Drosophila melanogaster: one gene and its partner. The protein of the gene in region 1 purifies or fractionates together with the protein of each later gene. This does not show direct contact. Each region holds a gene or a part of one and is shown on either strand. Other genes may lie near its edges. The genes, in order: mei-S332 and Pp2A-29B.

Region 1 (4,861 bases):
TCGAAACTGTAGTCAGAAATCGGTGTGCTGGAGAGCTCACTGTAGTTTTATGATTCAGTTCCAGGTTGCACAAGGAAGTGCAGCATAATTCAGCGTCATAAAGGCTGACAGAAACGACCGACTCTCTCTCTCTACTACGTGCCAATCAGACCTCGTGTGATGCAGTGCTCGAAAAATGCACGACAGCCAATTCGACTGACAAATGGCCGCACACAAGGCCGACAAGTGCCCACTCCCCGTGGCCATAAAACCCCATATCCACACCCCGTGCCCCACACACCTTCACCTCCACCCTCCCTTCAATCACCAGTCTTTGCGTGTGTCACTGCAGCAGCACTCGATATTTCTGTGTGTACTTGCAGTGGGGCATGCACAACAGCCTCGACAATAGACCGGCAGCAGGCAGACTCCTGGACGGGATGCCATGGAATGGGACGTTGGGATGGGTCGGTGCCATGTGCCCACCGCTGCCATGGCCTACGCCACGCCAATGACATTGAACCCGGCGACTGGGACGACCCTTTGTGCCATGCATAGCATTACGGAAAGGAGCTCGAAGCCCATTCACACTTGTGGATGGTTTAAAGAGCGCACTAAATTGGCCACGAGGGTTATTTTCGGTACAGAGAAAAGAAATTACTTATAACAACTTCTATAGTCTTGTATTTCAATGTTTTGATATCTGTTTTCCACCATCGCAGAGTAGTAAAGCATTTTAGAAATGAGAATATAAACAAGACGTTCCTCGACTATCAGATATTCGTTGCTCAGCTAATGGGAGTGCTGGACAACTGGAACCCGGACACCGGTACCACGACACCAGAAGTTGCACGCTTAAGCTAAAACTTGTGACTAACTCTACAAGTAATAAATCTAATGTAAAGATTGCGATTGTATGCCTCTTCAAATGGCTATAGTAAGAGCCCAGATTATGTCATACCATCGAAGTTCAACCGCCACAATTCGCACTCACATCGCTGAAGGGAGCCAAGCGAATGAATCAACCCCTAGTCAGCGAATTTAGTTTTCGTCGGCCGTCGAGCAATGCACTCTTTGTAGGTCAGTTATGGGGTGGCATGGGTGGCCACATGCTCCATGGGTCTTCGCTGGTGTTGCAACACTTGGTGTCGTCATGCGTCGCGTGCCCGGGCGTTTTGCTTAATGTGATTAAGACAAAGCGACAACAAACCAAAACAAAGTGCATTCGCTGACGGAACAGGAGAAAATCAAAGCGACCCGAGTTTATTGCACCCCTTTTAGCCGGTTAGACGGTGGAAAAGGCTTTTCGTGTTCTCCGACACAGGAAAAAATAAATTTCATGCAAGCTCAAATATTAAATCAAATCGGGCAAGACATGGACTGTCGGCTATACTTAGAATATATGCAAATAATGGTGATTAATCTGGAATATGGACATATGAATAAATATTATAAAAAGTCTAAATACAGCTGCCTACTAACGCTGGTATGTGTTTGTTTATTGTGTACCTCGAGGCTATAAGATATAGCCCCATATCTTGGAAAATGCAATTTTACATACACACAACCATTAGTCGCAAATATCGTGGCGAAATTGTCGGAGGGCGCGATAAGATAATTGCCTACATGGAACTGGTACCGAAGAGGTTCCTGAACTTGCCATAAATTACCAAATTTCTGGGCACCGTGCGAAATAGAATTGATAAGGTCGCTCGATAAGTCCGTACCACTTCGGATTCTGAGTGCTGAGTGATGCACTCAATCGACTAAATGGGTACAAAGCCAAACGAGTTGGATTTACAAACAGACTCACCTTGAAGCGGGTTTCGGTTTTCGACTGCGGTCGTAGCTTCTGTGAATGAAATTCTCGGTTCTCTGGGCTGCTGGCTGTCTTCGGTGTTTCAGCAGGTGATTGTCGTGATTCTCTGGCGGAGATGAAACAGCATAGCAAGCGGTTCCCTAATGTATTTTTCCGAAACTATGGTGTATAATCCGTATCCGTGTTCCTAAGTTAAGTTAATCCGCGCGCTAGATCCGTCTATCGTTTTTCGAGTGCACAGGTGTTGCATGTGATGTGTATCGTGTCCTGTGAGTGCGGGGGGAAAGTCCCTCCCACTGTTGGTAAGAATTGTAGAAATGTGTAAAAGCCTGGCTAAATGCCTAAAAGACGTACAACGACGATACAAATCCGACTGATTTTCATTTTTACACAAACACACGCACACTGCGACAGCACACTCTCACTCACGTACACGCACGCACACACTGCCAGGTGGGCTGACTTCTGATTCAGTGCGATTTTCGCGTTCTGCAAGGTGTATCTACAACCTCCCGAAACGCGTATTCACTTCGATTTCCGGGTTCTAGCGCTGCAGCATTGTTTATCTACCACGGATATCCAGATTTTCTTCGCAATCGGTCGAGAAAACAATAAATTTATTGTGCAGCTTAGAGGTGTAAGAGAAACATAGACGTATCGATGTCTCTCGATGGTTTGTGCCTATCGAAATCGGTGTCCCGCAATATACACAGCTTCCACTAAGCGAAATTTTAGCATTTTGGCATACGTGTAGAATTTAAATGGAAAATTACCCTTGGTAACGCATGTACGATCAAATTCGCACCAACTCAACGGTTCCTAATTCTTGTCGTGCAAATGAGACAAACAAATTTATAATTATTAAAATAAAATATATTCACATCGGATTGTATTGTTTCTTATATATATGGCCCAAAATTAAAGAATTTCATTTTAATTAAGAGCATGGTCGGCGTTGCCATACTTTCAAAAAGTTTTCCTTAAGCTGGGGTATATTCCAATAGCACAACAACGGTCACTCTATTTCAAAATTCAAAACAAGCTATTGGCGTCGTCTGTCTGGATTTTGTGTATGGAATAAGTAGATCAGAAGAAGCAAATGGGATCCAAAGTGGAGCAGCAGTACAAGCTGCTGAATGCGGAGCTAATGGACCAAGTGCAGAAGCAGCGCTTGGAGATCGGCGAGTACAGGAAGCGGGTGATATCTTTGGAGCGAGAGATCATGGACATTCGGGAGGAGCACGTCCTGCAAAACCATCGCCAGCGCATGGAGAACATCAGTATCGTACGCAGCCTGATGCTGAGCCTGAACGTGGACTCCGATTCCCTGGCAGTGCGTCAGGAGCCCGCTCCCGCAGCTCAGATAAACAGACCAAGCGGCCCGCGTCGCAGCTCCAGGGAAATCTGCAAGGACATGCGACGGACGTGTGCGTTGGCCCGCACCACCAGACCAATCTCGCCAAGAAGATCTTCCTCAGTGACCAGTACTGTATCGTCCACTAGTCGCCGCTCCAGCGCAGAAGTGCAGTCCGAGGTGGTGACCACTAGGATACCAGAGGATAGAAGAGCCAACAAGGTAACTTATACTTAAATTTGATTATGCTTTTCTTAACGATTCATTATCGGCTTGAGTACAGCCTACACCACCGCCACGAAGACCAGCGGAATTAGTGTTTGATGAGGACGACTCGGACGATGATTTCGACGAAGCAGTAAGCCCCGTGGAGGAGACACAGACTGAGCAAAATGAAGAGAACAATCGTCTGTTTAGCATTATAGAGGAAAATGGCAGTGAAGGGGAGTCCACAGACTCGTCATCATCATGCGAGGCCATCTATTGCGACACAACGTTTGAAAGTAGTCCGCCAAACGCCCAAGTCACCGTCACGCCCAGTGGACGGGCTCTGCGGGAAGTGGACACCAATATCCCTGTAGCAGTGTCCCTCAGTCGGGGAAAAGAGACTGGGAAGGGATCATGGTTGGCTATTTCCGTAGCTGTGGAAGATTCTCCACAGGAGCCAAGCATACAGTGCCCACGACTGGCAGTCACCAGGCCTAGTCAATCGTCTGGAATATTTCCTGATGTCAACGGATTAACGCCGCGAAGAAGCCTGTTCAATGGGATAGGCAAAATGGCCGGAAGCACCAGCACTCCGAAATCCTTTCTCGTCGAGGAAATGCCATCTATAAGAACTAGAAGCCGAACTGCGGCTAATAAGAAATCAGAAAATACGGATATGTCTAGTTCTTTCTGCAACAACAGCGCAAGGCCGAGTAGAAGCTGCAGGCCCACCAGTTTGGTGGAGCCAAGTCTGAAGAACAAGTTGCGCAATGGCTCGAAAGGCAAGGCCAAGGCCAAAAAGTAGATAGACGAATTTTTTAATAGGCTTTAATGTTGTTTCTGTAATTTCATTGGTTTTCAATACCACTTTTTACCATTTTTAATATGAATAATATTTTTAAATCGTCAGGCCCTGATAAGTTTAATTTATAGACTAAAAGCTGACATCGGATTACTTTTTGCCTGCAATAGAGGGCATATTCAGTTCATCCAGCGCTATCGGAAGGAAGACACTCCATCATCATCATCACCCAAAGATGCCAATAGGAATTTAAAAGTACGTCTAATTTTTACATGTTCATTTGTGAATAAAACAACGTTTCAATTAATTATTTGTTAATACGCTTTTAGGGGAACTCATTTTATAGATTCCTCTTAGATGCAAACTACGTTTATTCGCACAAAGTTGTTGGAAACATTTACAAAAGACTCTGAAGAACAAAGTACAATTACAATTACAATTAAATACAGTAGCAAAAGGGTAATGATTATACGTAGGTAGGCGATAATTGCACTTCTTTTAGACTACCTCGAACTTGCCCATACAACAGTTGAGATGGTCTCCTGCATGGTTGTGGCTTGGCTGCTCCGTGTTCTCCTTGATCTCGCTGATAATGTCCTGTATCTTGTTGATGATCTGTTGCGAGTTTTCACCTTCGCCAGGAGTGTGTTCGCTACCTGCGGCCGCTTCTGGTTGCTTTGCCTGGGCGGCATCTGCGGGT
Region 2 (6,367 bases), on another chromosome or scaffold:
CGTAGAAACGCATTAAACACATTCATTCGTTCAACCCGCACGGCAGACACATTTTGCATGCATTCAGCTTGGCACACAGGCATCGAAAACAATGAAAAATTTCATTTTTACCCAGGAGCGTGCATACGACCCATCTTGATAGTCTAGTTTTTGACACCGAAAAGAAGGTGGAGACTTTTGGCACGTTGACAGCTCTACGATGTGGAGACCTGTCAAAGCAGCTATCGATAACGGGATGCTTAGCGATATTTTTTTTAATGCGCTTACAATATGTTGTGATATTCAAAACTTTACTTTAAGTGACTATTACAGGATTTATTAAAGGGAAATAGAAAGCTAATTTGTGTAAAAATAATTCATTTAGCTATCGATATATGTATACTATTGTCAGCTAGACTCTACACAAGCACAGGAGTGCTTTGGGAAGGTTTCATTTCTTGCAGCACGCTAAACGGTCACATTATTGTTTCCCGACCAAGAATTTACCAATAAAATGCATTTAAATAAATATAGTGAAGTAGTGGAGCGGCTTGAGAACGAGGAATTTGAGGTGAGTGATCGTTTAATATATTCACTACAGATGGAATTCTAGAAAACCATACTTTTACAGCAAGTCGAACTGGGAGCTGAAGTCTACCAGCAATTACTTGCTATTTACCTCTATCAAAACAAACTGTAAGTGATTGATATAAAAGAAATACATATTTTAATCTTGTGCTACAGGGCTGATGCCAAGTTGTTGTGGATGAGAGTTCCAGCTAACCTAAGGGATGACAAGGAACTGATCCAGCTGAACCTGCTCAATATTGCCCTGCAGAACAATAACTATGCCGATTTCTTCAAACACATCAAGTATGAGTGGTCGGAAAGAGTAAAGTCACCTGTGGAGGATCTTCTAAGTATGGCTATGCCTAAAAGCTTACTAATTGGATATAAAAACTTATAATGTATCTACTTAGATAAGCAACGCGAAGAGCTGTTCAAACTAATGGGCAGCGCATATATGTCCATTTACCAGCACAATCTACTGGAATTGTCACTAATGTCGGAGGACGAACTGAAACACGCCTGTGCGGCCTTAAATTGGACTGAGGAACTGGACGGTGACCGGGTAATCCTGAAGCCCAAGGTTCAGGAAGCACCGCCAGCTCGTGGAAACGATGACCAGTTGCTTAAGTTGACCGAGTTTGTAACCTTCCTAGAGAATTAAGCCTCAATAAATTTCAATACATTTAATTGGATTTTTGTATACATTTGAAGAAAAGTTATGGTCACACAGCCTGTGTCAATCTAAAAAACACTCGATTAATATCGTTATTAGACATATTTATAAATATTAGCTAAATCACCGAATTGGCGCCATTGGGTTTTGTACGAATTAGCTTTTGGAAGTATACCTAAAAATTAGGAACTAGAAACTAAGGCTACAGAATTATAATTTTCCATGTAATCTATGTAGATATATAATCATATTCTTGGCCTAATTTAATAAGTGTGATTTTAATATTCTTCAGAATTCAGTTAAATAAAATATATTTCAGAAAATCTATCGACGCGCGGAAACGCCGATAGTATCGAATGATAACCGATATGCGTTCCACCTCTACCGTTGTGTCACTTGAAGAAAAAAAATATTAATTTGCACCAACGACGTACGTTTTTCGTTCGAAAAGAACAGCAATCAGCGGATAATTGTATGGATTCTTAGAAAATTTGCAGCGACGAAATATAGTACCTTGCGAAATTATTTTGTAACCTTGAAGAAGTAAACTGCGAATCGCCAGAGGGCCAAATAGAAATCTCGTCGTTTGCCTGCAGAATAGAAGACCCGATTTTCAGTGCGCTTGTGTTTGTGTGTGAGCAGCAGAAACAGCAGAAAAAATGGCAGCAAGCGACAAATCGGTCGACGATTCACTATATCCCATTGCGGTTCTAATCGATGAACTGAAAAACGAGGACGTTCAGGTTTGTCATGTCCTAAAACCTGAAATCCAATTGTATCTCGCGAAGAATGTGCAGAAATATTCTAGTGATTAAATTTTGGGGTAGCGTGCCCACACTCCCTGCTTTATCTGCGATTGTATTTGTGCAAAAATGCGTCACGGTGTGTGTGTGCGTGTGTGCATGGGCATTTGTGTTGGTGCGAGTGTGTGCATCGAAATTATACCGAATTTCGATATACACAAGATTAGCGTTTTGCGAAAAAAATTACTATTATCAATTAATTGCAATTATGGGTATACGTCTTTATCCGCTTTTTATTTGTAGATTTTGTTATCCTTCATTTATGTATGTATAAGTATAAGTTTTTACGCATTTGCTATTTGCAAAAACAATTTACAACTGCGCGTGTTAAAAATAGATCAACTTCAATCAATAGTAATACCATAACTGATTTTAAAATGAGATAGTAAGATGAAATATTTTCGTTACATCGAATAATCTAATCACTTATCTTATCTAAAAAAGATATCTTAAGTAAATATATATGCTACGTTTTTTTTTGAAAATAAAATGTAGGGTACAGGTTGACCACCGCTTTTGTAAAAAAAAACCAATAGCCCTATCAATAATAACCTCAAAATCGTAGAATTAGTTACCACTTATCCTAAATTTGAATACCCTATTAAAATAATCATCTTTAATATTTTCCCTTACCAAAACAGCTTCGGTTGAACTCCATCAAGAAACTGTCCACCATTGCACTCGCTTTGGGCGAGGAGCGCACACGGTCCGAGTTGATTCCCTTCCTCACCGAGACCATATACGATGAGGACGAGGTACTGCTGGCCCTGGCCGACCAACTGGGCAACTTTACTAGTGAGCAAAGATATAATTTCTAATGAAAACATTTCCAACCATGTTCCGCCGTTACTTTCCAGGTCTCGTTGGTGGGCCAGAGTTTGCCATGTACTTGATTCCGCCCCTCGAGAGTTTGGCCACCGTAGAGGAAACCGTGGTGCGAGACAAGGCTGTGGAATCTCTACGCACCGTGGCCGCTGAGCACAGCGCCCAGGATTTGGAGATCCATGTGGTGCCGACACTGCAGCGATTGGTTTCCGGTGACTGGTTCACCTCACGCACCTCTGCCTGCGGCCTCTTCTCGGTCTGCTATCCACGCGTCACACAGCCAGTGAAGGCCGAGCTGCGCGCCAACTTCCGAAAGCTCTGCCAGGATGAGACACCCATGGTGCGCCGTGCAGCGGCCAACAAGCTGGGCGAGTTTGCCAAGGTCGTTGAGACGGAGTATCTGAAGTCCGATTTGATTCCCAACTTTGTCCAGCTGGCACAGGATGATCAGGTAAGCACCTGATTAAGACCAATTTAACAACACTCCAAAATATCAATCCTTATCCTTAATTTCCAGGACTCTGTCCGTCTGCTGGCTGTAGAGGCATGCGTAAGCATTGCCCAGCTGCTGCCTCAGGATGATGTAGAGCACGTAAGTTGATCAGCGCTGAAATTGTTAATACCTGTTGGCTTACAAAAAATATTCCATAGCTGGTTCTGCCCACGCTGCGCCAGTGCGCCAGCGACTCTTCCTGGAGGGTGCGTTACATGGTGGCCGAGAAGTTTGTTGATCTGCAAAAGGCTGTGGGCCCAGAGATTACTAGGGTGGACTTGGTGCCTGCCTTCCAGTACTTGCTCAAGGATGCCGAGGCCGAGGTTCGCGCTGCAGTGGCCACCAAGGTGAAGGACTTCTGCGCCAATCTGGACAAGGTCAACCAGGTGCAAATCATCCTTAGTTCCATTTTGCCCTATGTCCGCGATCTTGTCTCGGACCCCAATCCTCATGTGAAGTCAGCTCTGGCCTCAGTGATCATGGGCTTGAGTCCCATGCTGGGCGCCTATCAGACTGTGGAGCAATTGCTCCCCCTGTTCCTTATTCAACTCAAGGATGAGTGCCCAGAAGTGCGCCTAAACATCATCTCAAACCTGGATTGCGTTAACGACGTCATCGGTATCCAGCAACTGTCACAGTCGCTTCTGCCCGCCATCGTCGAGCTGGCCGAGGACTCCAAGTGGCGTGTGCGTCTAGCCATCATCGAGTACATGCCTGCTCTGGCCGGTCAGTTGGGTCAGGAATTCTTTGACCAAAAACTGCGCGGTCTCTGCATGGGATGGCTCAACGATCACGTGTACGCCATTCGTGAGGCAGCCACCCTCAACATGAAGAAGCTCGTCGAGCAGTTCGGAGCTCCCTGGGCCGAACAGGCCATAATTCCAATGATTCTGGTTATGTCGCGCAACAAGAACTATTTGCACAGTAAGTTATCGAATTGAAATTGTAATGATCAATATATGCTTATGGTTCTTATGATTTTTAGGAATGACTTGCTTGTTCTGCCTGAATGTTTTGGCAGAGGTCTGCGGCACAGATATCACCACCAAGTTGCTGCTGCCCACAGTTCTCCTGCTTGCCGCTGATCCCGTTGCCAATGTTCGTTTCAACGTGGCAAAGACCCTGCAGAAGATCTCGCCCTTCCTGGAGGCCAGCGTCATTGATGCCCAAGTAAAGCCCACACTCGACAAACTGAACACAGACACAGATGTGGATGTCAAGCATTTTGCTGCACAGGCCATTGCCGGCATAGCTGCAGGTAAGCAATAAACAGTCTAATATAAACAAGGTTAGCGTTTGACAGGGATAGAAAGGGTCTAACTTATAGAACAATATATAACATTATTCATTATCACAAGTTTTAAGGCATGCAGGGAATCTGAGAGTTACACAAATTCATAAATTGTCAGTTAGTAGTAAGACTTTAATTTTAATTAAAATCCTGCCATAGAAATGGAACTGAATGTGTTTAGAACGGCAATACCGCCGTGCATGGGCGCCAAAATTGAGGCGGCAATGGACTCAAAGCTGATAGTGGAACCGCCCCGACAGCCGGAGGCAGCTGACAATGACATTTTGCAGGAGATGAATGGCAAGGCAGCGGAGCCGCCCACGCTTGACTCGGAATGTTAGAGGATGAGTAGCCAACCACATGACGTGTGATGTGCCTCCCGCTGTCTCCAGCCAGTTCCACAAGCCAATGTGTTTAATCCTCCCCGTCATAATCGTATTCACATTTGATTGTTTGTTTGTTCAAGATAACCAGGCTAGATGTCCGATCTGATTAAAGTGCGAGTGCAGTGGATCAAATATTTAACCGATACTAATGTTGTGCCATATTTTTTTGTCTCTTTCCCGGTATCATCGCCATCACCACGTGGTTATCTCACCATTCCCCACTCTGTGTTCGTCTGCAATAATGTGTTTTGTATATTTGTTTATAGCGTAATCAACCTTCTTGCATCTTTTTTTATTCTATTTTTAAAACTGTATGTATTTAACGCCGGCAACAAAACATATTATGTAGCAACAACACTTAAGAACGGAAAATTGTAGTGGATCCCGGAAGGTGTTAAACGCTGCAGCCGATGCTGGATGAGGGATGAATGGAGCCAGGAGTCAGAGGAAGGAGAGAATCGGAGAATCAGCATGGGAGGAGACCCACTAAACGCGACACACAACTAAACATTACTACTTACATACTTATATTATATATAAATTACCATAGGCATAACGATCATTATTAAAAACATTTGTAGAGTTTGGAACATTTGATCGCATCTGAATGCAAAAATAAAATTGTAGTGAAACAATATCACACGATCTATTGAAAAGTTTAATGTGGAGCAAAATTGAATATTTAACTCCCAAAATTGTATACCAATTTCTAGGTTTCAGTTGTCAGTTCAAAGTTTGGAAATGTAATATTTTCCTTTTTATAGTTTCGTTCAAATTAAGCTTTATATACATTCTGATTATTTGGCAGGTGCATTGATTATTTATAATTTGTGAGAGGTATGGCTATGAAAAGCATAGATTATACAAACAAAATACTTGTATTTTTACATTTTAAAAATACTGTTAATTTATTTTGAAATCCTAAAATCATTCCAGCAGTAAACGATTTTGATAGCAAGCTAGACTGATATCGATAGGCGCCAAACAGACACCTGGCGATAGTTGGGGCTTCTTTTTGGTTTTTTAATTGGATGATGGTGGTGGTGGTGGTGGTGGTGGCGAGCAGTTTCTAGCGAGAGATCAGTTGGACTTTTGCGACGAAGCGATACGCTTGTTTGTTTTGCCGTTCCGCTGCGCGTTGGCCAATGTTTGCCTAACTCTCGAATCGAATTCCGAAACCGAGTGTGGACGCGTAAGTGCCATTGAATTATTCCGTCTGACGCTCGAGCGCCATCGAATCGGATGCGGCGTGGAATGTGGTGGAGTCAATGGGGGGATCAGATGCAAATTTGATTGGGCAAATGGGTGGAACCAATCAATTGTGTGTATACAATAAAACGAGGTGTT

What was found.
Region 2: the proteins of mei-S332 (region 1) and Pp2A-29B purify together in Drosophila melanogaster (affinity purification with mass spectrometry, with the first as the bait; 2 studies listed by BioGRID). This does not show direct contact.

What each region holds. Positions count from the first base shown.
Region 1 is NT_033778.4:22,120,101-22,124,961, forward strand, and holds mei-S332 (meiotic from via salaria 332), read left to right. Parts: upstream 1-2,000; 5' UTR 2,001-2,100; exon of another isoform or gene 2,101-2,462; intron 2,463-2,802; 5' UTR 2,803-2,897; coding exon 2,898-3,374; intron 3,375-3,435; coding exon 3,436-4,164; 3' UTR 4,165-4,267; downstream 4,268-4,861. Other genes in the region: GM130 (golgi matrix protein 130 kD), read right to left, coding at 4,660-4,861. UniProt on the Drosophila melanogaster protein: Plays a central role in chromosome cohesion during meiosis and mitosis by preventing premature dissociation of cohesin complex from centromeres after prophase, when most of cohesin complex dissociates from chromosomes arms.
Region 2 is NT_033779.5:8,364,430-8,370,796, forward strand, and holds Pp2A-29B (protein phosphatase 2A at 29B), read left to right. Parts: upstream 1-1,608; 5' UTR 1,609-1,881; coding exon 1,882-1,965; intron 1,966-2,666; coding exon 2,667-2,820; intron 2,821-2,882; coding exon 2,883-3,301; intron 3,302-3,367; coding exon 3,368-3,442; intron 3,443-3,501; coding exon 3,502-4,267; intron 4,268-4,328; coding exon 4,329-4,601; intron 4,602-4,793; coding exon 4,794-4,975; 3' UTR 4,976-5,131; intron 5,132-5,286; coding exon of another isoform or gene 5,287-5,291; 3' UTR 5,292-5,661; downstream 5,662-6,367. Other genes in the region: RpS13 (ribosomal protein S13), read right to left, coding at 112-134; CSN8 (COP9 signalosome subunit 8), read left to right, coding at 494-550, 611-675, 724-899, 960-1,210. UniProt on the Drosophila melanogaster protein: The PR65 subunit of protein phosphatase 2A serves as a scaffolding molecule to coordinate the assembly of the catalytic subunit and a variable regulatory B subunit.